Kluyveromyces lactis: one gene and its partners. The protein of the gene in region 5 interacts with the protein of the main gene of each other region in a biochemical or structural test. Links are inferred from orthologs where the notes say so. Each region holds a gene or a part of one and is shown on either strand. Other genes may lie near its edges. The genes, in order: SSD1, SHS1, ASH1, RVS167, PHO85, VIP1 and PAH1.

Region 1 (4,074 bases), on a different chromosome or scaffold from region 5:
ATCTTCTCAAAGGAGCTGTGAAATGTGTGAACAATGGCAAATTCAATGAATAATGCGCAAATTGGTCAGGTTCGACTTTACCAGATATGAAATATTTAGCCGGTGTTAAGGTCTTGGATAAAAATAACTCAACCGCCATTCTTGTAGTGTTATTATCTATGGCAAGAATTGAATTCAAAACTGATTCAGAACTTGTTATATCCATCTCAACGCCAAGTTTTTCAACTTTCTTTTGGAACGTTTTCAATTTGGTAGAAATTGGTTCTGGTTGTCTTCTCAAGAAAGCAACATCTCCCAGGGAAGTGAACAATCGAGTAGCAACGGTATTATTCACTTTACGCTCTATTTCCGATAAAAGGGTCAAAGCTTTAGAACGTTGTAAAATATTCAAATCAACTTTAACCTTCTCGTCATCGAGAGATTCCAAAAGGGGCAAAGTCCTGTATAAATCAGCATTTTTGGAGTTAAGCCTACAGCGGTAAAATTCTTTAGCCACTGCCTCAAGTTTCTCAACAAACTTTGAGCCCGAAGCTGAAGATCTCTCCAATTCTTGATTAAGCCTGTCATGTGTCAATGAGGTGTTTGGCTTGACACGAGTCTCGCCTATCCACGTTGTAACAATATCAAAGTTTTCAGGCTTCAGTTCATATATTATACTGACAGTGTTTGACAGTTTCTCGGGCTGCAAACTTAAGAATTCATTCAGAGCGGCTGGAAGCAAACCAACAGTCTTCTGTGGCATGAAGACAGCGCTAGATCTTTTCCTAGCTCTTCTATCCAAAGATGAACCTTCTTCAATATGGACTGTTACATCAACAACATGAAATCCTAATTCAAGGTTACCGTTGTCAGTGTCTCTTAAATGGACCGCATAATCAGAAACTTCACCAGTTTCTGAAATGGCAATGACATTTTCATAAGTACGCCTTGTTTTGCTTTGCTCTTCTGAAAGCAATACAGGTGCAAAACTATCTCTCTCCTTTGTACGGTCCTGAGGGTCTAAATATTCATCACTTAAGAAATTATTGTCTCTCAAAATTGAATCAATCTCAGTTTTTGGATCGTTCACATCGCCTAATTGCGAGACAAGAGTACCAAAGGGATGCAAAGAAGTGATTGGCCAGCGCTTGATGCTAGCAACGAAAACTTTATTCAGATACTTATCAGCATTTTCGACGAAGTCCTTAGGCGCCTGTTCTATCGAAATGGCAATTAGAGGAACTTTCTTATCGGTAGGTTTGAACCAAACAATTTTCGGCTTATTTGGCTTATTCACATCGTTGTTCGCTTGTTGAGATGGTCTTAATAGACCCAAAGTACCGCTAAATAGTTGGCCCGGAATACGGTCTAACACCGCGACTACGTGTCCAGCGTACAAAGGCCTGTAATCATCATTAATCTCTTCTTCCTCGACCAATAATAAAGATTGACCTTCAACCTCTACGTCATCATTCTTCTTTTGAGTTGGGCGCTGCTTCAATGATCCTCTTCTTTTGATGGAGCCAGATGAAGATCCCAATGTAGCATCTGATCCTTTATTTTCACTAGAGCATGATGCGCTTGTAACAATACTTGTTGAAGCATCATTATGGTAATCATCTTTAGAGTCTAGTGGAATAATATCTTGTTGAGTGCTTGCATCTTTTCTTCTCTTCTTCTCTTCCTTTTCCTTTTTCGATTCCCAGACATCGTCAACCATCAAAAGCTCAACGGCAACAAGATCACCTTCCAAAGCTCTATTACGATCCTTCGAACCACAAATGAAAATATCGGCGTCCAACACACCGTTGGTCGAAACCCAGGCATCCGATCTATTTTTCTTGTTGACCCGTAGAATACCTGCAACCAATTTGCCTTCTTCAATTAGTTGAGGAATGTTAGCTTGTGGCAAATAGGGTGCGAAAAGTGATTTACGGCCATTGGAGTTTTGCTGGCCATTTGCCGAGGTAAAACTGTGGGAAGAAGCATTGGATCCACGTGATTTATGACCTGGTTGGAAGACAGGTGGTGGTTCCAAACCTGGGTGGCCTGAATATTCTCTTGAATGCGTTCTAGAGTGATGAAATGGCGATACCTGCTGTTGCTGTTGTTGCAACCTCCAATTACCGTCGATACCTTCATTTTTCGAATTAGTGCGACGATGCGGGGTTCCAACGGGTATGAAATCATCATTGTTTTCCTTTTGGTTCAACTTAGCAGGTGGAAACTGGAATGATCTATTAGGGGACATATTTGACTGAGTTCTACGGTGACCTAGATTCTTAGACTCGGTTGTTGGAGATCCAGGGAATTTGAAGCTCGTTTGTTCATTTTCATCGACTAACTTAGGGATATCTTGAACATTGTCAATTTTGATCTGAGGTCCACTTTCTCTTTTTGCTTGTTCTTCTGCAGCGGCTCTCTTGGCTTCATTCAAACCAATGGATTGTCTTCTGGAATGTCCATATACGCTCGTCTGAGAGCCAGTTCTTCTGTGTCCACCTGCAGCAGGATTTTGTTTGTGATCGTTATTGTTGTAGAATGCAGAACCACTTCTAGAATGAGACCTGCCTTTTCTATTACCTGAATTTGGGGACAGTTGATACTGCACGTTGGGTGGTTGCGGTAAAAAGTTGGCGGCAGATTGTCCCTGTACGCCTAAGTTTCCGCCACTACTATTATTCTCGATCTGTTTTTGTAGAGTAAACTGCTCAATCATTAAATTCGTAAGTTCAGAAGGAGATTTCCTATGAGCAATGTGAATTTGCTTCGGAGTACCCTTACCACCGGTAGTCTGAACAAATCTTTCTTGTTCTGGCATAATAACTTTAGGTTAATTTTGCCCTTTAGTACTGATATTGTTGTAAATATTATATTTTGGTATCCAGGTCACAGATTCTATAGTTACTATGATTCCGAGATAATCCGCTAAGATTCCGCCAATAAATTCAAGACGTAGTTCTATCAATCAGTGCCAAAAACTATAAGTGATTGAGCCGTTCAAAGGAAAATTTAACTAAAAGCCAATAATGTATATCGTCAAAGAAAATAAAAAGTCCCAATTTCAAATTAGCAATAAAACGGGAAGATCGACAGAATGACAAAAAGAGATTTCAAAAGGAGGGGAGAAGCTATTTCACTTGAGGATAAGTCAAATTGTAAAACGTACAATGTTTGGTGAAAGCACAAGTAAATGATATCACTGATGACAAAGCTTTCGAAAACCTTGTATCACACGGTATTGCAAAACTCCAAAAAAAAAGAAGGGAACTAGAAAGAAATATTCAAGCCCGAGTAAAACGAAGATAGATAATCCTAAGAAAACAGAAAAAAACACACTCGCAGAGAGAAAATAACCCTCTATAAACTATAATTGATAGCTTTGCAGGACTTTGAAGCTGTTGGTCCGTTCTGTTTTGGGGGATCAAATTTGGCTTTACTCCTTAAATTGATCTTTTCTTCCTTCTAAATTCAACTTCTTCAAAAATTCATTTTATAAAATCAGCTATTTCCACTTTTAGCAGTTTCTAAAAAAAATCTTTTCTGTTACCCTCCACTTGCAAAAAGTCAAATTCGGAACAAGTCAGTTAGATTGGACGCCAAAGTCAAGAAGTATGAAAAGTCCGTCCATAGCTCAACGAAACATTATGTTGAACGATATCGTTCGTCAGTTCAACAAGTCTATTGCAAGTAGAATATTAAAAAATTGTCACTAATTAGCATGTTTTTTCATATTATTTATTATATTCTATCTAAAACGAGGTGGATCCACACTGTTTTACATGTAATAATATATGGAGTATTTTTAGCCTCACAAGTAATGTCACCCGGACATGTGCCTGTTTGAAAGACAAGGCATCCTCATATACAATGAAGCTGCTTGAGAGATCTTGGGCATGCACCATCGAAAGTAGCACTTACAGCGTGACTGTCGTATACATGTCCAAGGTTGTCTCCGTTTCGCTAAAAAAAGACTTTATTTCTTGAAGAGTTTAGGTATTTGTACATTTATATAGATTGGGAATTTAAAGTTCATGCAGGTCGATATACTTATTCGTAATTGGATGGATATCTGTAGTCTGTCAATTCATAATA
Region 2 (3,626 bases), on a different chromosome or scaffold from region 5:
ATTCGGTTAAATCTCTTTTCCTATTATTTCCCCCAGTGCCTTTTCTCATCGTCGCTGAATGAATGTTGTTTCTTGATGTTTTTAATTGCCATCGGGAACATTATTTTGCATTTTTCGGTTTTCTTAGTTCTCTCCAGTTACACTAGCTATTTTTTATCTTGAAGCACTGGATGAACATAAATTTTTCACCAATCTTTTTTATCTCATAATACTATGTCATCTGAACAGATAAATTCCATTTATTGATAAGTGGCACGAAAATACCTTAACTCATTATTATATTATATATATATATATACCTGTAACAGTACGTATATTTTTCTGATTTTTACATCACCATCTTAAACTCATCAAATTTGGAAACAGGTAGCAGATCAATCTAGACGTGACCGTTTGCAATATACAAAATAATCAATATTGTTTAAATTACATATGAAATCGTTTCAGGAACCAAACACTTCGACTTACAAAAATGCCAAAGAAAGATATCAAGACTGAATTCATTCTTTTTTGCTGATTATCGAAGCTAAATCGTTATAGGTTTCCTCTTTCTTAATGTAAGCACCTCCAGAAGTTGAATTTTGTTTAGTTGTATTAGTCTGGATAGATTCTTGAGATTGACTATGTGAGTTTTGTCTTAGTAGCTTTTCCTTCATCTTCAATTCAATAGCCTTTCTTTCAAGTTCTTGAATTCTCTTTTGTAACTCTTTGGCAGATTGTGCCTCCAATTCTTCAAGCTTTTGTTTCCTTGCTACTATGCGCTCGTGCTGAAGCATGTATGGGATATTTTCGGAAATATTCCGTAACTTTGTTCTTTCTGGAGAAGTTTGAATATTGGCAGGAGTAGATTTCTGTGAACTGGCAGAGATTGAAGCGCGAGACTCATCTCCTTCATCTACCCCGGTTAGACGTGGTGTAGATGGGGTTTCAGATTGAGGTGGAATTGCAAGTGATTGTTGAGACTTAAACTTTCCTGTATTTATTAGAGAGGCGAAATTTGACAAGGATGGAGCTGTACTGTTTCTAGTCAACCCTTTCATCAACCCTGAAGAATTACCCTCATTGTTTTCGTCATTGATAGAAGTATCTATAACTTCGTTGTTTTCAATGTCCCAGGCTGGCACAGACGCCAATTTCTCAGCACGGTAGTTTTCATACAACAGATTTTGTGTCGTGTCCTTAAACTCTTGCAAATGGGACCCGAAGAGAACCCTTTTCAACAATTTCAAGTCCGAAATGTTTTCATTATCGATGTCAATTTTACCCCATGGATACTCACGATAGTATTTACCGGTAGCATTATCGCGTTGGTCGGCGCAGATAATAGCAAACGGCTGAAGTCTCGCTAATGCCTTGTTCTCTTCAATTGTTTCTAGATCATCCTCATTTTCGTCAACTTCGAATTTGTAGATAGGAACGTTAAATCTATCAATGTCTTCCATAATTCTCTTCTTGAACCTAGTCAATTCATCAGGTGTGAACGAATCTGCTCTAGCGACAATTGGTAGAACATTTGTGTAGCGGGATAGTCTCTTCATAATTTCAACATCCAATTCACGTAACCCATGTCCCGTGGGTTCAATAAAGTATAACGCGACATGAACTCTTGTATCCTGGAACCTTGGATTTCTCTTGATTCTGGTCTCCTCAGCGAGTACCGAATCAAATTGTTGCTCCAAATATGAAGCAATCTCATCGAAACAGATCCCATTATTTAAGTTTTCACCCAGTCCCAGGGTGTCGGTGAGAAAGAAATTGATCTTTTCAGGGGTAGCGCTATCGATATCCTCACTAGATTTCGTCGTGATCTCCAGGGCAGTAGACGTCACAGTGATACCTGGTTCCAAAAACGGCGAGGCTGGATCAAATGCCGACATGTAGCTGGGAATACCGTTCATCGAATTGAACGTGACAACCTTAGTTGGTTGGATAATCTTAACATTCTCGTTATTCGTGCTAGCTGGAACATCTTGTTGATATCTATGAGGGAAAATGGTAGATTCCAATAAATTGTTAGCGAAAGTGGTCTTACCAGTACCAGAAGCACCAACCAACATCATCGAGAAAGTAATACCTCTCTTCTCCTTCTTTCTACGGAACACACTGACCCCATTGTTGCTTGGTGAGAATACCTGAGATACAGGACTAGCGGACATCTTTTTATTGCTTCCAAGATCAAACGGCTTCACTTTTCACTTCCAATTATATTCTAAATAGAATCGCCAAAGTACAATGATTCCTATCCAATTGATTGAAACTCGTCTCGTTCAATGGTTCACTTGATTAATGTAGCTCTGCAACGTATAGAATACACTTTTTTTATCAAAAGACGTTGTTGTTTCAGTCAAATTACATTCTCGTCTAAATTTAAATATGGAATTGATATCTTTTACGTGATATTAACCGTTTCGAAACTTTTCACCGATTAAAAGGCTCGAACATAGCCATGGGAAATGAGACACTCAAAGATACCTAAGGCAAGGACAAAAGTTACCAGTGACATGGGAACATCAAATGGTTACAGTTCGATGAACCACATATCGTAACTAGTCTATGTATTGGGGAACTAAGGCATATATACATATATATGGCGCCACTTCTTCACGTGACTTATATTTCTGTCTCAGTGATGTGAATGTATATGTCCGTCAGTGGATTACGTTATAAGTTGATAACGATCTTCGATCTAGGTCCGGCTAGCTTTGGTACTGCCTTGGTCTACATATGAAAGGCTTCGGATTTTAGCCCTTGCAGAAGGGCTCTATGTGTTCAATGAGATGCGTCTTTGTTTTGCAATTTTGTCGCTTTTAGTTCTTGCTAGAACATAAGGTGATGCAATGTGGAAATGTTGCACCTTAACGAAACGAAAGATAGAGAGAAAGAGAGAAAGAAATACACAGTAAGCGAGAAAATCTGCGGAAGCGGCAGCATACTTAAGGTCTTTGAACTGCTTGTTACGGACTTCAAAGATCGGCCCTCCCCTGCTACGTACACATACTGGAAGAGCCATGTCTGATATCGGGAGCACTTCACATAGTAGTCCGACAGGCATCATGCATCATCAGATCAAGCTCGACGTATTTTTGATCAAGGGTTACCAATTGATATCCAACGGAGAAGTCTTGGAGCTTCCCGAGCTATTGAATTCCACGATTAGTCCGAATCAGCAATCTCCTATATCGCTGAAACCCTTGGACGAACGTCATATGCAATATTTCCAAAGTCTCTCACAACTTTACGATGCTCTAGTGACAATCGTACCCTTAGATGAACAATCGAACGTACCCAAATCAAATATCGAATTGTTTCAGCGATTTCAACAGATATTGAAAGAGATATTGCTAAGTTATGACGTGAGCCCGTACAATCGGTATTTTTTGAAGTTGGATGAGAACAACTGGAAGATACGGGATAACGTGGACGATCCTCTATGGCAGGTATTATCTTTCAACATCGACAAAGTCTACGACAAGACAACGGGGTTAATAACACCGTTGAGGAGGCCAGGGAAAAGTACCACTGCGTCTGCTAGGGAATCGCCCGTGCTTGCCCCCAGACGTAAATCGGTTGTAAATACAATCACTTCACCGGACTTTTCATTATCACAGGTGGATAATAAACTGGAA
Region 3 (3,267 bases), on a different chromosome or scaffold from region 5:
CCGGTACCTGGTATCACATGGAAATCAACCGCGGTGATAACGTGCTGCGTCAGTACCACTCCAGTTTGCCATGCCTGAAGGAATTGCACTGCCTGTCCAAACGGTTGGGAATTGAATATTATTTTGCACTGATGTGGGTTAAATAGCTGTAGGAATTGTTCCAACTTTGCTGGATCGGGCTCATCTAGATGAGCCAGTACTTTCTTCACAAAAGTCTCCACGATTTGAGGTTGACGATTCATTTTGATAATATCAGTTGATGATGCTTTAAAGAGATTTGCTGATTTTTATTGAAGGCTTTGATAACGTTTACCTTAATACTATTAATTTCAACATCGATCAAAAATTTTATTATTAAATCTATGGAAAGAAGTCTTCTTCTCTCCAAATTTCATCTTGGGTAAATTCAATTGACTAGCTTCATCAAATGCGGGTAACAAACAATATATGTACGCGTTGTAATTTCCTTGATGATTTTAGGTAGACCCTGATTTCAAAATCTCTCAAATGAACACATGCAAACACAACTCTAAATGCTGATCGACTCGAGCAAATATCTAGCGTACATATTGTAGAGTCGGATTTTTCTTTTCCTTATGTCTCTTTTGCCAGCACTTTTGTCAAGCTGCCTCGCGCACTAGTATTCTTTTTTTTTTAAATTCTATTTTCTGCTTGCATATGTGAAGAAAGTGTAAACATGAAAAACCCAGCATCGAAATGTAAATCCATAATACCAGCCGAACAGATACCAAGACTTGGTGTGGAAAAATAAACATAAACAGAGATCTGAAAGCTAAGTGAACATCGCTGCGCGATTCCATTACATGATATATGATTTTGTAAACAATGGTTGACTAGTTTTGATCAATTTTATAGCCGGTAAGAGAAAAAGAAGTATATCTTTTGTCTTTCCCTTTAGTTTTGCAGGCATAGAACAAGTATGAATTCTTTTGCCAAATCGAAAAAAATTCGGTAAACCCTCTGCGGGTTTGGCGCAGGTATTCTTTGTTTACACTTTTTTCTGTTTCATCGATATATGGATTCCTACTAAGTTTGCGGGACTGAACTGATTGAAATTGGTTCAGTATCCCTAGAGTATATAAACCAGAATCCAAATCTGGGTTTCCATGGGACAATTCTTTCAGATCGATTGGAAAGATAATCCCCTTATTTTTACTGAATTAGGTATCGTGGTTGATATATGACAGTTCTAGCTAATCCTTATAAGGCCTGATATATTTCTTCACTCTTCAAACACTGGTCCTGACAACTGTGTTACACATCAATAATTTACTTCAATTAACACCGTAACTTGTTCCCCATTATAGAGCATCGAATCAGCTCATTTCCCATCGCTTCGACCTTTTCACTATTCAAGCTAACGATGTCCACTATTTCGAACCCTTTACCATTCACCAATCCTCACGCCGAGCAAAAGTTCTACGCAAGAAGAAAAAGATCCTTTGATGATCTATTATTGCCATCTTTAAGTACCAGTTTGAACGCCCCAATGACATTAGAAGAATCGCCATATTTCTTTGACGCCCGGAAAAAATCTAAAACGGCGCCAGCCTCACCTTCTGGATTCGTACAAATCACGCCTACTACATCACCAGTGTCCGCTTCATCTAATTCTTCCATATGGAGACAGACAGTATGTGAGGGAAGCAGCATTAGCAGCAACAGCAGTAACAATATTGGAAAATCAACTCAACTGCCTTCCTGTTCACAACTACAGAATGAGGTTGCGCAACCCTCGCAACCAGCACTACAACCATTAAAGCATCTAAAGTTATTGGCACATCCTAAAATACAAGAGTTTTCGTACCTCTATCCAGACACTTGTGCCTCCACGCCTCTATGGAGGCAAAACTTAACAGAGTGGTGTAAGGAAACTAATTACACTCAGTACCAAAACATTACAGATCAGGTATCTCAAGCTAATCCAAGAGCTGGTAATTTTACTCATGGATTAAATATTTTAGCCGATGCTGCTAGAATATCATCGATCAATACTTCACCAGATGAATTCTATCAACTTTCAAACACTTCAAGCTCCAGCAAAGTACTGGTAACCCCACCAAGTAGTCCTCCCAGACAATTCACTTCTATGATCAGCGAATCATTAGTTAAAGCGGTAAAGAAGAACCGTTCCTCAAAACATAAGAAGACCAACAGTTTTAAAGCAAGAAAACTGAAGAAGATGCTGGATCAACGCATATTGCTTACATATGAAGACAAATTCGAATCACAAAAGTCGGTATTTAAGGCTAATCCTGCACCACCAAAGACCCCTCCACAAAAGAAGATTACACTATCCACAACTCCAAAATCTCTTCAATCTCCCCAACAGAGATTTCATCCTATTGTGATCAACAGCGTGGAGGATTTCGGCGAAAAGACTTCGGCGAACTCCAACTCAGAAGACGACACCGACCAAGAGCTAGTCCAAACATCTCCCAAAAGCTCTCCAACACAAAGGCGTAACTCTCATAGATTTTGCGTTTCATGTCACATTACAGATTCCCCGTGTTGGAGACCTTCTTGGTCTAAAAGCAAACAAGATCAGCTTTGTAATTCTTGTGGGCTCCGTTATAAGAAGACCCATACAAGATGCACCAATGAAACTTGCCGTAAAATACCTTCAAAAGGTGAATTGACACTTATGAAATCAAACAAGCCAGTTTCGATTGAGGACGCTGACGGAAATACTGATTACAAAATAGCATGTTTGTTCTGCGGTCACGCCGTTGCTACTGACGAATAGGGCAGAAAAGCCTGATAAAAAAACCAACCTTCCTTGCATAATTAACTGATCCCAACTTTCAACGGAGCTTTTTACCTTCTAATATTGCATTTATAAATACTTACTTCTCTTTTCCCTTGTTTGTCCGGATAATATTTCCACTATTCCCTTTCCCTTCAATTCTAACTAATTTGATTAATATAATGATATAATCTAAACATATATTCTTCCTATAATTTATCTAATGTAGCGTAAATTAATATTTTCACACTTCTGATCTTTGAGCATCAATATCATAGGTTGATATTGATGACTGGCACTTAGTAGCTGCTTCAGACCTCTTCATAAAGTGAATGATTTTTTCTTTCTTTTCATTAATATGCCATTTACGTCAAGATCGATGTATGTTCGCTATCTGAAAATGAAAAAAAAAAAAAAAAAAAAAAAAAAAAACTTCATCAAAAATATAAATAACTGGAACCGTCAATATCTCATCACTTGCTTTCGTTTTGCTTTAATAT
Region 4 (3,023 bases), on a different chromosome or scaffold from region 5:
GTGTGCACTGCAGTGGGAGCAGTTGTGATGGTGGGAGCTAATTGTTGCATTGAAATACATAGCTGGTTTTAAGTATATATAGAGACGTATCTCTTTCTGTTCCTGCAGTAAGGCTTAGTGTACTTTCTCATGGAATTCTTTTCCATCTTACCTGCTGTGTGCTTGGAAACCAGTGTGATTTTAGTGGCTGGCTCTGCTACTGGTGATGTGTAGAAATATAGGGGCATGTAGACAGGGGTTCTGACGAACCCCTTTCGTCTCCATGAAGCAATGTCTGACTATTGCCAGGTGACCAAATATCGTCAATTCCGTCGATAGTGATGTGCATTCTGTATCCTTTAAAAGCTATGGGGCATTCTTGAATTAAACAAGGTTAGAGTATATAGTAACTACAGGCTAGGAGAGCTTTTCTTTTGCTTTATTATTTTTTTCAAGTTCAGTCTATACACAGCAGAAAGGGAATGGAAAGTGACCAAGAGATTAGTTTTCTTTTGTTTTCATTATTGTTTCGATAGTTCGACGTAGTTCCCAGGGAATACACCTTGGACGCCATTGTAGACACCGACCCACCATCCTGCTGCATCGGAACGATCCACGACTTGGATTATGGCACCAGCAGGGAACGTCAAATCACCTTCGGCTTGGGCCGTGTAATCGTATAAAGCGGTACATGTCTCCACTCCTGCACTAGTGGGAGGAGTGTATGATGCCTGGGTCGCAGTGGTGGGCACCGAATTGTATCCTGCGATACCAGCGGCACCTGCAACACCTCCGATTGGATACTGTTGTTGCTGTTGCGGCTGTTGTAGTTTTGAGTCATAGCCCATCTGTTGTGGCTGTTCAGGCTGACCGTATGTTTGGCCGTATGCGGGTGGGCTCATTGGACTTCCAGGACTTGAGTCGTCAGTAGCACCATATCTTCTTCTGGTTAAATCTAGTTTGGCCTTCGAGTATCCCAGCTTGAAATGAGTAATGGTTAGTGCATCTGTTTGCTCTTCAATGTTGCCTCTTTTAGCTTGGAATGCCTCCAAGATGTCAGTATCCAGGTCAAAGTATGGGATCTTCATGTCTTGGAACCTGTTGTATAAGGTGTAGAAGATATTCAATTGCATGTAGTAGAATGAAACAAATAATGGTTTCACGAACTCTGATTCCAATTGGAAAAGTATAGGTAATTCAGTTTTCAACATATCGTTGTAGTAGTCGTATTCTTGTTGCATTACGGCGACTTGAGCCTCGGCTTTATATTTTTTCTCCTCATCCTTTGGCGTTGGATTCTGTTTTTGTTCATATTTGTTGTACGTGTTCAAGCTCCTATCCAAATCTAGCTTTTTATGGTTTCTCTTGGTGGACATCTTTCTAATGTAATTAATAATGTTCAAAAGCTCTTGTGCTGGTTTAACAATTTTCTCGTCAATCAGAGTTAGATCAGGCTTTAAAGTAGCTTGCAACTCAGAAACAATTGCACTGTACTGCTCACTCGCTTCAATACCTTCTGGATTGTCTTCTGGCACAGCGGCATTGGGATCGGACATCTTACCACTAATTGGCTTGAAAATTTCCGACATTGCCTTAGAAAATCCAATTTGATGCTCTAGCATACCGTTCACGGCATTGAAATATCTCTTTGACTCATCGCTCAACTTCTTCGTTTCCGATTCCAATTCCTTGAAACGACGATCAGCATCCTCATAAACAGGATCAACAGTCTGCTGACCCATGTTCAGTTTTTGCCTAAAAGACTGGGGTGCTCTGGCGACAGCTTTTGTAAAACCTTTGAACGACATGACTCTCTAGGGGGAAAATATATTGATTGTTATTTGCTTTCTTATTCGCTGTATACGCTCTAAACTTCAAAACTTAACGCTTTTTATCTGTTTAAATTCACGTTCTTCGTGTTTTTTATTTGAGTGCTCTCTCTCTTTGCCCTTATAATAAATTAACTTTCTTTCCCTCGACAAAGACGCTTGTTTGTCCTTCGAAAGATTAATTTAAGTTCAGATTTGCTCTAACAGACAACTCGTTGACACGCTGATTAGATATATATACCGCTTCAGTTGCCTTTCAAGTTTGCCCCTTTTACATGCCCTTCCAAAGTGATGAAATTGAAATTGTCCAAAGTTTGAATTTTTTTGAAATTGTATTGTGCATCGGCAAAAGCGTACAGAAAGGAAAAAGGCTTGGCTTAGTTCATCGGAAATTGGCCCAATGCATTTGAGCAGTAGGCTTGTGAAAAGTTAAGGGGATGGTCTATACTGTTATTAACGCCCATTGGTTCTCCTATTGGTTGTAATTTGAGTGCGTATCACTCAAATATGCTGCAAGCTTGACCTTGTTTTTTTTTAGGCCTGCTGACTCTAGGCTAATAGTCAATGTACCCTTCGGTTGAGAATAGTTGTGGAGCAAGGTACATAAAGTGCAGCAAGATTCTTGGTAGGATATAAGTTAGGTATATTTTTACATAACGGTTGTTTCGTTATGGATATTACAAGTAGTTTCGAGAAGTTACTGTCATTGGAGATGTTGTTTGTCCTCTTTTCATTTTAATGTCTTAATATAGTAAATGACACTTTAAATTACCGAATGGGATTTAAACCATTTTCTGACTCCAAGGCTCGAACAAAGATTTACAAACTTTAAACACTTGCTGTAATATCCCACCGATCTGTTCATAGAGCGGCGTTCTTACAATCCGTTGGACAGCAAAATCCAGCATATATTCTCTTAACCTGGTACCGTATTATGGTGGACGATATTGTACGATCTTCCTCACCGCAGCGAGATAGCAGTGTCGAAGATGTGTATTCGGATTTGTACTCCACTTTCTCTCAGATGACCACCACCACTGCAAATGATATTGAACAACGACCATACCCATTCACATGGAGGACGGGTATTATGTTTGTTAGTTCGACAATTGGTGGGATGCTTTTCGGTTACGATACTGGTGTAATTTCTGGGGTTTTAATAGCAATGAATCCAAAGGATTTAAACTTTCATAGTTTGGAAATTTGGCAAAAGGA
Region 5 (3,021 bases):
CCATACTAACCAAGGTCAATATAACATCAACCATTTATTCCATGCCATTATCTTGGTAACTCACATCTCATCGGTGTTACCTTCTAAATCCTTGGATAATAATGGACCCTTAATCGAACTAATCAACAACATATATTTGACTCCTGCTGGTCAGCAGTTACATGAGTTGCTATTAGTAGACGATTATACTGACGAAGAGGCGTTTAGTAGAAGGAGAATACGTGTCCTGAACAAATTCATCAATAAATTCTACAAGTTGGAAGAAACAAGACCATTGTTATTGTCTCAGGACGTCTTATGGGAAACCTTGGTCGACGTTAAGGACAAACATGTTATGAAACTTATTATGGAATATGGAGGACAGCCTAGCATCAACGTAATTCAATAAATCCGTAATATAAAAAGTAAAAGGAATGGTTACAGATTACTATACACTTATTTATTTATTTATTTGTTTGTTTGTATCTTTAGATGAGCAAGGCTATCTAAATCTAAAATCGTTAGTTGGCATGGTTATATTCTGCAAACCATGGGTGGTTCAAGGCATCCTTTGCAGAAAGTCTTGCATCTGGGTTCAGTTGCAATAGACCATGCAATAGATCCACTACATTATCGTCCAACACTTCCTCCGTATTGTTTTGTAATAGCTGTTTCAAATCACGAGGCATATGTGGAGGCAAAAGTGGATTGTATTTAGCCAATTGAGTCACTTGCGGCCATGTCTGCTCCACTGGAGTACCCATCGTATCGAATATGAGTTTCAACTGTTCCTCATCGTTGGAACCAGGGAATAACGGTTTCCCCATAATCATTTCAGCCAAGATACATCCGCATGACCAAATATCGATTGAAGTGCAATAGTTTCTTGACCCCATCAACACATCAGGAGCCCTATACCAAAGAGTCACCACTTCACTGCTGAAAGTGTTAACTGGGATACCAAATGCACGAGCCAACCCAAAATCACCAAGTTTCAATTGACCTCTGTTATTGATCAACAAGTTCTGAGGTTTCAAATCACGATGCAAGATCCTGTTCTCATGGCAAAACGCTACACCTTGTAACAACTGCCATTGGAAATATTTCACCAAATCCATCTCTAAGCCCTTATGAGAATTTCCCTTGTTTCTATTGTCCATGAACTTCTTAAGGTCATTATCCATGAATTCAAACACCAACGTCAACTTATTCTCAGTATGAATCACATCGAATAGCCTCACGATGTTATCATGTTTCAACTCTTTCATCAACGATATCTCCCTAATGGCCGTTGACGGAGTTCCTTCTTCGCTATCCAATTTCACTTCTTTCAAAGCAACGTATACACCAGTCGTCTTATTCAATCCTTTGTACACGGTAGCATACGTACCGTTACCAACCTTTTCAAGTTGCTTGAATCTGGTTTCATAGCGTAGTAGAGGGGACAAACGATTGCTGCGTTAGTATAAAAGTCAGAGTTATAGTGGTAAGGAGAAGTACTCATCTGCTTTGTACTCCTCGCTGCCAGTATCAAATATTCACAAAACTGCATACTGAGATGGTGCCACCATAGTTTATGTTTATTGATGATCCTTGGAATGGTCCTGAGAGCTATATAACCATTATCGGATCCTCTTTTTACATCTGTTCAAGAGATAATGATTCAAATAGGAATTGAAATCTTCAAATATTTAAGAATGGTGTTATCTAGAATAAAATAGTGGATACAGAAGGAAGTAACTTAGAAGAGGACAGAAATATTTGAGGTTTGGCAGTTGTGGCGTCCATCTCAGATAGTTTACTACCTAATTATATATGCGTACCATTTCAAAACTCTTCTTTCCCCTGTACTTGCTAATTATAATGCCAGTGACAAAAGTCTACTTGAAGATCTTCTAATATTAGACAGGAGTAAATACACAATTACGCTTTAATACCTGGAAATCTTATCCATTCATTTACAGTAGTAAATAATAATATTCATGTTGAACAACTTCCAAGTGGTTATATGGCTAAAGGCAGGAAGATATCTTGTATGTTGCTTCGAATTCCTGGTGCCTTTAGAGCATGAGTAACGTTCGAAGTGAAAAATTTAAAGAGGGCATCGATTCATCAACTAATAAGCAGTTTCAACGCAGACTCGAAGAACTCGATGGAATACCAGGATATAGAGAACCATATAGACTGTGCACAGGTAGAGTTGACGTAAGTTTGATATGACCTCGAATACGCTTCATTATACCGTGGAGAAATCCAGTATTTTGGGACCAGAATGGCAATCTTTATATTCGACAGCGGAACCTGTCGACTTCGATAAATCACATTTCGAACAAGCTATGCTAAATGTGATAAGGCAGCCTAATGTAAACTCGACTGTTATTCTACGTGCAGATATGCTTATAGACAATGAATACGACTTAGAGTCTGGTTCATGTGTGAAATCAGAGAAGAAAGACATCGCGTTGGGAAGCGATGAGGGTATATTGAAAGTAAACATCGATGATCTAGCACCGAGATCTGTACCGATAGCGTTGGCTGATGTTACCACAAAGTTCCAATTTGTTAGGAGGATTGTTCCGAGGAATCCATTCAAGGATGCTATCATTAATCAGACGTGTTTGGTTATGAATTCCAACTCAGATGCTTCAACCTCTTTAGTAATTTACATCCCACATTTTGATAATGCTGAGTTATGTCCGTTTTATATCCCACAAGTGGCTGCAGTAGGGATTCTATTGCATGATCACCAGCTATCGGTGCATTATATCCCTTTCGCAGGGCAAAAAGAGCTTCTTTTCGATCCAAAACAACGGGTGGTAAGAACTGCTTTCAGGTTATTACAAACAGCATACAAGCATTCGAAAGGTGTCAAAGATGGGTATGCGAAACGGGTAATGCATGACGTTGTCGTGGATAAAGTGTTGTTCCAGGACCAGTATATCCATTTGAAGAAGAAATACTCAAAGTTCTTGGTGGATAACTGGGCGGAAAGTACTGATCCAAAGAAACATGTCTTTGAAGATATCGCCATTGCAGCTTTCT
Region 6 (4,248 bases), on a different chromosome or scaffold from region 5:
TCTTGCAACACCACCATTCACTTCCTTGTGAATGCCTTTTAACACTTGAACACGTGAGCGATGATCTAAGTCATAAAAGATCAAATCACCACTGGTTGATGCTACTGAGATATGAGAAGCACCATCCGTTCTGAAAGAGATTGAAGAAATTCTCGTCGGCGTTTTAATGGTTCTGATTTTCTTACCCTTACGCAAATTGAATAAAATAACTTCACCAGATGATGTACCAAAGGCAACGATGTCTAAAGCAGGTGCAGGTTCAGCAGTGGTGATCTCATCGGGGAACTCATCGGAAGTGTACAATTGTTTTCCGGTCCGAACGTTAAACAAGGTGAAATTAGACTTAGTCACAACGAGCAACTTGTTAACATATGTTGGTAAATGCACCAAATCAACAATATCACCACCTTGTAACTTACCAATGGTGAAATTGGTGTATAATTCAGTAGCGAATTTATCAGATGGGGAATTTTTCTTATAGATATAAACAACATTATTATCTGTAGAAGCAATCAAATATTCACCGAAAACGTTAATTTTGGTCACCACGGTATTTGGATCAGGTAATTCAATCAAATGTTCTAGCTTACCTCTCTTATAGATCCCAACTTTATTCTTAAAACTTGCATAAACGTAATGAAAATGCGCTGCCAAACAAGTAATGTCTCCCTCTGTCTCCTTATCTGAAACGAATAGCAGATGCAAATTATTGGCATCAAAGATCTGAAACGACTTACCAACAGAAGTCACAATGTAGAAGGTCGTACCTAGGGTACCAATCGCATAAGGAACTCCAGTAGATACATTACCTACAATTCTATACGGAGAAAATATTCTGGAAGCATGTTTCCTAACAGCGCCGGAAGAACCAACTCTTCGTTTCTTTAACGATCCATCCACTGTCATGATTGCTAATGCACTGTTCTGTGACTTTATGCAATCGCTTAATTAACTGAACAACAAGCGAATCCAGTAATTAGCTGCTGACGATAGGTATCTATCTCATCTCATCTCATCTCATCGCTTCTTTAAAACGTCGAGCTTCGAAATTTTCATCGCTGAAACAGAAAAAGAAATCAGAATATCACGTGACACATAAGGGGGATCAACCTGCAAATGTGATTCTTAGACTTGGATAGAGAAGATACTATGTAACTTCACCATTAGATGCCATTAGATAGTAACCATACCACAGTCTGAAATCTCACTAGCGAAACACATGGAGGTGTTGCTTAGATACTGGTCTTTACTTCAGAATTACTCACAGTTTTCTATCAAGTTTTCACTATTATCCTTCACATATAAATTTATATACAAAATTAAACACATGGGGAATAATCGTACCATGCATCCGCTTATAACAGAAATCGATTAATTGCAACGATCTACAAAATAATTTTAACTGAAGTTTCAGCATTGGTTATAATCAAATTGCAGAACTGCCAGTCATGTCTTCTCCAGGTTCAATTTCTGATGAGGGTCAAGAGGCAATCAACGGAAATACCATGCCTCCACTGTTTTTAGATTCGAATACGAAAAAGGCTATGGAATCGATCGCTCCTATCCTTGAAGGGTTCACGCCGAAGACCTCTTCTAGTGAGAATAAGTCGTTGAAGTTGCCACCTGCTGGTTTTACCTCTGATGATGATGATGAGACAAATAAGCTCGTCAGAACGCTTAGTATTTCTTCTACTGGTTCGACAGGTCGTCATATGACTCCCAGTGTCCTAGGCACCTCATTCGATAGCATGAATGGTAACAAGCTTCAAAGACTGAAAAGTAACCAAAGTGGATCAGCATCAGTTTCTGCTATTCTGGAAGGATCGCCTAGTCCATCTCCTATGCTGGAAGAACCTCATGCATTCCCCTTCATTCCGCAAGCATTAGTCTCTAATGAAGCTGTCACAACCAACACTGACGGATCAACAACTCCAAGTTCGACAAATTCTTCGAGGAAAGCTTCAACTTCCTCGTCCAAGCCTCAGCTACCAAAGATTGGTAAAATTGGTGTTTGTGCCATGGATGCGAAAGTGTTATCCAAGCCATGCAGACATATCTTAAACAGACTAATTGAACACGGTGAGTTTGAGACTATAATTTTTGGCGATAAAGTTATATTGGATGAAAGCATTGAAAACTGGCCTACTTGCGACTTTCTAATATCATTCTTTTCCAATGGGTTCCCTCTAGAAAAGGCTATCAAATATGTCAAGTTAAGAAAACCATATATCATTAATGATTTGATTATGCAAAAAGTATTGTGGGATAGAAGGTTGTGTCTCAGGTTGCTGGCGGCAAGCAACGTACCTACCCCTCCTAGATTGGAAATTACAAGAGATGGTGGTCCCAAAATTGATGATGAACTGAAATCTATGCTTGCCGAACGTGGAGTTATTGTTTCAACTGTTCAAGAACCCAACTGGAGAATGGTGGACGATGACACCTTGGAAGTTGAGGGTAAGGTGATGACCAAACCATTCGTTGAAAAACCTGTGGATGGTGAAGATCACAATATATACATCTATTATCATTCGAAAAACGGAGGCGGTGGGCGTAGATTATTCAGAAAGGTCGGTAATAAATCTTCCGAATTTGACCCTACTTTGATTCAACCTCGTACTGAAGGTTCATACATCTACGAAAAATTCATGGATACCGATAATTTCGAAGATGTGAAAGCATACACTGTAGGTGAAACTTTTTGTCATGCTGAAACCAGAAAATCCCCTGTAGTCGATGGTATTGTGCGCAGAAACACTCACGGAAAGGAAATTAGATATATTACTGAACTTTCTCCAGAAGAAAAAGAAATGGCTCGTCAAGTGTCGAAGACGTTCGCTCAAATGATCTGTGGTTTCGATTTATTACGTGTTGAGGGCAAGAGTTATGTCATTGATGTTAATGGGTTTTCATTTGTCAAAGATAACACAGAATACTATGATGCCTGTGCCAAAATTTTGAGAGATACCTTCTACAACGCCAAAAAATTGATGGACCTAGAAAAGCGGAACCTTCCTGCAATTCAAGAGGAGAAAACTCAAAAATGGGTATTTAAGGGGCTAGTTACTGTTATCCGTCATGCAGACCGTACACCAAAACAGAAACTCAAGCACTCGTTTACCTCTCCGATATTTTTGTCTTTATTGAAAGGTCACAAAGAAGAAGTAGTCATAAGAAATATCAATGACTTGCAAATTGTTCTGCAAGCACTCAAAATTGCACAAGAGGAAAATGCTGAAGATCCAGCGAAACTTGCTGTCTTAGCAAACGCTTTGGAAAAAAAAATCAGTTTTCCTGGAACTAAGATTCAATTAAAACCAGTTCTGAACAAAGACAACGAAGTGGAGAAGGTTCAATTCATTCTCAAATGGGGTGGTGAGCCAACACACTCCGCTCATTTCCAAGCTGAAGAATTAGGTGAGCAGATGAGACAAGACTTTGATTTGTTAAACAAGAACATCTTGCACAACATCAAGATATTTTCTTCTTCCGAAAGGAGGGTTCTAGTTTCGGCCCAAATATGGGCCACAGCTCTATTCGGTGCGGATGAAATTAGTAGCGACGAGATCAGTATAAGAAAAGACTTGCTAGATGACTCCAATGCAGCTAAAGACCTTATGGATAAGGTGAAAAAGAAACTAAAACCATTATTAAGAATGGGGAAGGAGGCACCACCTCAATTTGCTTGGCCTGCTAAGATGCCTGAACCTTACTTAGTCATAAAGAGAGTTGTTGATTTAATGAACTACCATAAAAAAATCATGGATCACAACTTTGCTACAAAAAACGTTGAAGAAATGCAAACATGCTGGTGCTGTGCAGAAGATTCAATGCTATTCAAGGAGCGTTGGGATAAGCTGTTCAAAGAGTTTGTTACTGTGGATAAGGTAGATCCATCCAAGATTAGTGAATTATATGATACTATGAAGTACGATGCTCTTCACAACAGACAGTTTTTAGAGCACATCTTCATGCCTGATGATGATACTGAAGTTGAAAACGAAGAGGTCTGTCATCATTCTTTGGTTGACAGGTACCCCATCAATATTTTAGCTAGAAACAACTTCAAAATCCCAGACTCTTCTAATGCCCAAATGACTAACCAATCTTCCTCTAATTCAAAAAGTTCGAATAGTGTCGGATCTCTTGGATGGGTTCTTGAAAGTGTTGAAAGCGGATCCAAATCACCCCGTTCTTCGAATTCCACATTCGATGATCCGAAGTTCATTCAATTAAGGGAATTGTTCA
Region 7 (4,271 bases), about 190 kb from region 5:
CCAGCGACATGACAAGACATAGAAGTAAATAAAAATGTAGAAATCAATCTCCGTCAAAATTTTACCAACAGGTGTAAGCGATTTCATTACTAAATATTGAAATTACTCCATCAGCTGGATAGGAAGATTGTCAAACTAGGTTAGAAATTTTTTACATATATGGGTCATTCCGATTTGAAGTTTATATTATTTCTAAATACGAGTGACTAGGTACTTTGAATGAATGAGGAAATGTTAATCCGACTCCCAACATAGTAACAGTTCAAAACTGGGGGTATTGCAAGCAATATTCTTGGGCATTTTTACTCTCGTGCTTTTCAACTCATGCCGTCATTAAATTCATGATGTTCTGCACTGAGGTACATAATGTCTGTATAATCCTGATGGACTGTATTTGTAGTTCCTTGAAAAATAGTCAAAACTCGTCTTCATCAAATTCATCTTCATATTCATCCGAGATGTTTTCGGAACCTTGATCTGTTGTTAAAGATTCTTGTTCAGAGAAATGTTGATCCGGATTATGTCCTTTTTCATCGCTTGGTATTTCCTTATCAAAAGAGTTATTGTTTGAATTCGATGAATTAGTATTTCTACGGCTTGTTTGCGACTGCAGTTGACCCATTACTGGTCCCGATCCATCGTTATATACATTAACCGGTTGGACTTCTAGCGTCGAAGGCGTGCGGGCAGAAAGATGATCAAAAGTCAAAATACTATTTTCACTAGATGAATGTCTTTTCAAAGGCTGCTGGTTCTTTTGGGATAGTTCAGAATTATTAGAATATCCATTATTGTAAGGTGAATTAGTATTCATATCGAGATCAGAGTCTTGTACCTTGAGGACAGGAGATGATAACGGCGATCCCAGGTTCAGGTACATCCTTTGTCCAATATTATCAGGATCACTTTTTCTCCGAGGTGTCAACAACAGTTCCGTGTCATTGCCTTCCCGAGGCTCATGCACAGACAATCTATTTTTGTTAGTCTGGTTAGCAGTACCATTGGTTGTACTGTTCCTAATACCTTCGTTGTAAATTTCTTTCGATGGAGAGGTTGCCTTCTCAGAATCGTTGCTTAGATCAGAGAGTTCATCAAGGTCGGGAATTGGTTCTCGCCAGTAATTTACGTCGGTATACTTCTCATCATTGGCTCGATAGAATGATTTTTCATCATGCATTATGTTTGTTCCATACGGCGAACCCGGAGTTGTTGAAATACTCCGAGCATCTTCAGCGACAAATGGGTACTTTTTGACAGGCGGGAAGAAATGGTCTACAAGTTCATTAATATGGATGTAGGAACTTTTGTATCCTGCTAGCTCTAGTAATTCCATATGTACTTCCCCATCAGGGTTGATAGTGAAAATACGAGAACTTGGAATACCAACGGTTCTATACGACAAGGCATCTGTGATACGATTGCCAAAACCAGCAATAAAAGGAGTTGGCATCTCATCAGCATCATCTTTTCGGTTATTAGATTCTGGGAAATACAATGCCTTCATGTCTTTTAAACATGCGATTTTGAACACTTCAGGTTTCTTTAGAATAACTTCCCTTCGCAATGCTGCCATTGTTCTATCTGGCGAGAGAATAACCGGCCCAATGGGTAATGTACAACCATTTTGTACAATACTTCTTAGGTAAGATCTTGTGGAATCAGATTGTCCTGCCGTCCTGGCAGTTAAATACATGATGTTATAGCCGTTCCCTCTGATTTCTGTAAAAAGCTTCGCAACGCCAGGATGAGTCCAATCTTTACCAATCATGGTTAGGACGTGACCCAAGGCATCAGATTTAGTAATTGTACCGTCAATATCGGAAATCACAATTGGATCGTCCCACTTCCAATAGAAAAGTTTTGCTGTGATAATTGCTCGTCCCTTATCTACCGAGAATGTTAAATCGTTTTCACCATTCGACAAATCTAAACATTTCAACTGTTTGGACGTTAATCTGATAGTTTTGATAAAGTGTGTTGTTGCAGTTGCAGCCGATGGGACTTCAACTCTACTGTTATCGGTGCTAAAGGATGGTGTTCCTTCATTTGATGAGTAACCGAGGACCGATTGATGCTCGGAATACAAGGAGTCCGACGATGTCATAGGTGGAGAATTGGGAGGAGAAGTAGCCCAACATGGATCTGTTGGGTTCACTATCCGAATGTTTCCCTTTTCATCCTCCTTCACAAACTCTGACAAGTCTACATCTTCTCCAAGTTCATCGTACAACAGCTGTTTTAACAATTCATCAGTGTCGTTTACTTTATTTTTACTCGTTTTATAACCTTCAATATCAAGTAATAGATCTCCATTATTATCAACAGTGGATGGTATCTGTTTCTGTGTTAGCGTTTTAGTAATTCTTTGGATTGGTGTCGGTGTAGTTGGTCTCTCAATCTTTGAATCATTGATATCTAAAAAGTCGGGTTCTTCAAGGGCATCATCCTTTGTCGTTGGCTTGCTCTCAGGACTACTGGCAGCGCTAACAACAGGCGAAGATATCAATTCGTCTGGGATACCTTCCAAGTCAGCTAAAGTCTCAAACACGAAATAAGCCTCACCAGAATCTCCAAGCTTCATTGGGATGTCCGTTGATTGTCCGTTAACCAAGACCTCTACCTTCTTCTGAGATGGTTTTAAGATCTGAAACTTACCAAACCTAACATGAAATGGCGAGCATGCCAACTCGCCATCAGGGTGCTCTACCACTATAACATCTATTGCTCCGGATAATGTTGCTGGATTGATCGAAGACCATGTCTTCGATACAGAGTCAAAAGCTCTGCCCACGTATTGCATCTATTTCGAATATCGCGGATGGTCAGAACAAAGCCTCTGTGTCGTCTAGTTTATCAGACTATCTGCAAAGGCGCGTTTTGAAGTTATCTTTCCCCAATTAACCTATACCCGTTTTGTGACATTTCAATATTAGCTTCATTTCTTTAAATAACATCGTTTACACTTTTTCATTTTATTACATACATTTTCCAACGTTTATTCTAAACATTAAAGTATGCAGGAAAAGGAAGAATAGAGATGTTGAACAATTCAATGAGGTAGATGGATTTATAATTTGAAGAGTGATCGCCAGGTGAACAGGCAATACAGTTGCAATTATAACCCAGCAAAGGCGTCTTATAAGAATGTCTTTAATAATAAGAAATATGGAAAATGTATATACAAGGATTTCTTAAAGGGAGACTATGTTCAGTACGTCCTTATGTTAAGCTTAGCTACGAGGTGTATTCTTGGGAAAATCACCAGCAGATGAGAAAAGGAACCGAGTAGTTTATCTCTAATGATTCGTAAAGATAGATAATACTGATTAAAATGTGTAAAGCGCGCAATCACTTGCAATTGAGCGACGAGTTCATTTTATTGATGAGAGCAGCAATTTTGTACAGGAATAGTGATACAGTTGAATAAACAGTTGTGATTTGTCGAAGCGAGATTCATAAAGATGGTGGGGATAGTTTGTCAGGTGTTAAAGTTTCTTTTCATCTGAAAGCTTACTGTCCAAGGTTTTTAATGCAACTTGATATAATAGCAACATGATACTACTTTGTATACTTGTCCAAATAAATCTTGGTCCAACACCGCTGAATAATCCAGCGAGACCTTCTGTCTTGTAAACGGTCATCATGCCTTTCGTAATGGAATTTGTCAACGTTTGCTGCTTTAAATTCTGAGAACTATTTTCAGGGATATCTGGTAGCTGTGTCTGGATTCTTGTCTTTACAACATCTAATGGAGTTGTTATGATACCAGCAAGACCACCTGCAGCAGCACCGGTAATTATTTCGTTACTCAGAGATAAATCTTCATCAAACGTTTTATTCTCTACTGCGAATGCAAGTTGTCTAAATTTCTCATAAAATGCAAATTGTAACCCAGAAAACGGTAGATCCCGACTCAAGGTTGCTTTATAACCAAAGAATAAAGTTGGCCATCCTTCTCGCCTCACAATGGTTGTGACGGCATCTGTGAGGTTTTTGTAATTATAGCCGCTGCGGAAAAACGGGTTGTTATAACGGCCTTGCAATTGTAATCTGGTCTTTAACACTTCACTGGGCACATACACGAAACTACTAATGAAATCACCAAGGAACCCTGCAGTTAAGTGAGAGAAAGTTTCATTTATTCCCCATTCACCAATCATTTTTCTTTTGGTGTACTCGTAAGTAGCAAAGAAAATTGCCGCGCTGGGGAAGGATCCGAGCATTGCACCCGAGTAACCTCCGTATAAACCCTTGCGCAACCCTTCCTCCAG

What was found.
Region 1: of the proteins of PHO85 (region 5) and SSD1, one has a biochemical effect on the other in vitro, tested with the Saccharomyces cerevisiae proteins (2 studies listed by BioGRID). The link is inferred for Kluyveromyces lactis from reciprocal best matches to the Saccharomyces cerevisiae genes PHO85 and SSD1.
Region 2: of the proteins of PHO85 (region 5) and SHS1, one has a biochemical effect on the other in vitro, tested with the Saccharomyces cerevisiae proteins (2 studies listed by BioGRID). The link is inferred for Kluyveromyces lactis from reciprocal best matches to the Saccharomyces cerevisiae genes PHO85 and SHS1.
Region 3: of the proteins of PHO85 (region 5) and ASH1, one has a biochemical effect on the other in vitro, tested with the Saccharomyces cerevisiae proteins (2 studies listed by BioGRID). The link is inferred for Kluyveromyces lactis from reciprocal best matches to the Saccharomyces cerevisiae genes PHO85 and ASH1.
Region 4: of the proteins of PHO85 (region 5) and RVS167, one has a biochemical effect on the other in vitro, tested with the Saccharomyces cerevisiae proteins (2 studies listed by BioGRID). The link is inferred for Kluyveromyces lactis from reciprocal best matches to the Saccharomyces cerevisiae genes PHO85 and RVS167.
Region 6: of the proteins of PHO85 (region 5) and VIP1, one has a biochemical effect on the other in vitro, tested with the Saccharomyces cerevisiae proteins (2 studies listed by BioGRID). The link is inferred for Kluyveromyces lactis from reciprocal best matches to the Saccharomyces cerevisiae genes PHO85 and VIP1.
Region 7: of the proteins of PHO85 (region 5) and PAH1, one has a biochemical effect on the other in vitro, tested with the Saccharomyces cerevisiae proteins (9 studies listed by BioGRID). The link is inferred for Kluyveromyces lactis from reciprocal best matches to the Saccharomyces cerevisiae genes PHO85 and PAH1.

What each region holds. Positions count from the first base shown.
Region 1 is NC_006039.1:905,574-909,647, reverse strand, and holds the start of SSD1 (mRNA-binding translational repressor SSD1), read right to left. Parts: upstream 2,801-4,074; coding exon 1-2,800. Other genes in the region: PUT2 (1-pyrroline-5-carboxylate dehydrogenase), read right to left, coding at 4,030-4,074. UniProt on the Saccharomyces cerevisiae protein: Can suppress the lethality due to deletion of SIT4, and partially the defects due to BCY1 disruption. Is implicated in the control of the cell cycle G1 phase.
Region 2 is NC_006042.1:1,938,219-1,941,844, reverse strand, and holds SHS1 (septin SHS1), read right to left. Parts: upstream 2,157-3,626; coding exon 501-2,156; downstream 1-500. Other genes in the region: GCR2 (Gcr2p), read left to right, coding at 3,009-3,626. UniProt on the Saccharomyces cerevisiae protein: Septins are GTPases involved in cytokinesis that assemble early in the cell cycle as a patch at the incipient bud site and form a ring approximately 15 minutes before bud emergence, which transforms into an hour-glass shaped collar of cortical filaments that spans both sides of the mother-bud neck.
Region 3 is NC_006038.1:232,169-235,435, forward strand, and holds ASH1 (DNA-binding transcription repressor ASH1), read left to right. Parts: upstream 1-1,384; coding exon 1,385-2,767; downstream 2,768-3,267. Other genes in the region: MTR2 (Mtr2p), read right to left, coding at 1-242. UniProt on the Saccharomyces cerevisiae protein: Component of the RPD3C(L) histone deacetylase complex (HDAC). Responsible for the deacetylation of lysine residues on the N-terminal part of the core histones (H2A, H2B, H3 and H4).
Region 4 is NC_006041.1:280,307-283,329, reverse strand, and holds RVS167 (amphiphysin), read right to left. Parts: upstream 1,788-3,023; coding exon 501-1,787; downstream 1-500. Other genes in the region: CIN10 (Cin10p), read left to right, coding at 2,743-3,023. UniProt on the Saccharomyces cerevisiae protein: Component of a cytoskeletal structure that is required for the formation of endocytic vesicles at the plasma membrane level.
Region 5 is NC_006040.1:1,022,395-1,025,415, forward strand, and holds PHO85 (cyclin-dependent serine/threonine-protein kinase PHO85), read right to left. Parts: upstream 1,551-3,021; coding exon 1,534-1,550; intron 1,399-1,533; coding exon 501-1,398; downstream 1-500. Other genes in the region: KLLA0_D11968g (uncharacterized protein), read left to right, coding at 1-388; TRM44 (tRNA (uracil) methyltransferase), read left to right, coding at 2,196-3,021.
Region 6 is NC_006038.1:251,105-255,352, reverse strand, and holds the start of VIP1 (inositol polyphosphate kinase VIP1), read left to right. Parts: upstream 1-1,448; coding exon 1,449-4,248. Other genes in the region: rRNA-processing protein UTP21, read right to left, coding at 1-906. UniProt on the Saccharomyces cerevisiae protein: Bifunctional inositol kinase that acts in concert with the IP6K kinases to synthesize the diphosphate group-containing inositol pyrophosphates diphosphoinositol pentakisphosphate, PP-InsP5, and bis-diphosphoinositol tetrakisphosphate, (PP)2-InsP4.
Region 7 is NC_006040.1:831,419-835,689, forward strand, and holds PAH1 (phosphatidate phosphatase PAH1), read right to left. Parts: upstream 2,801-4,271; coding exon 416-2,800; downstream 1-415. Other genes in the region: MME1 (Mme1p), read right to left, coding at 3,486-4,271. UniProt on the Saccharomyces cerevisiae protein: Mg(2+)-dependent phosphatidate (PA) phosphatase which catalyzes the dephosphorylation of PA to yield diacylglycerol. Required for de novo lipid synthesis and formation of lipid droplets.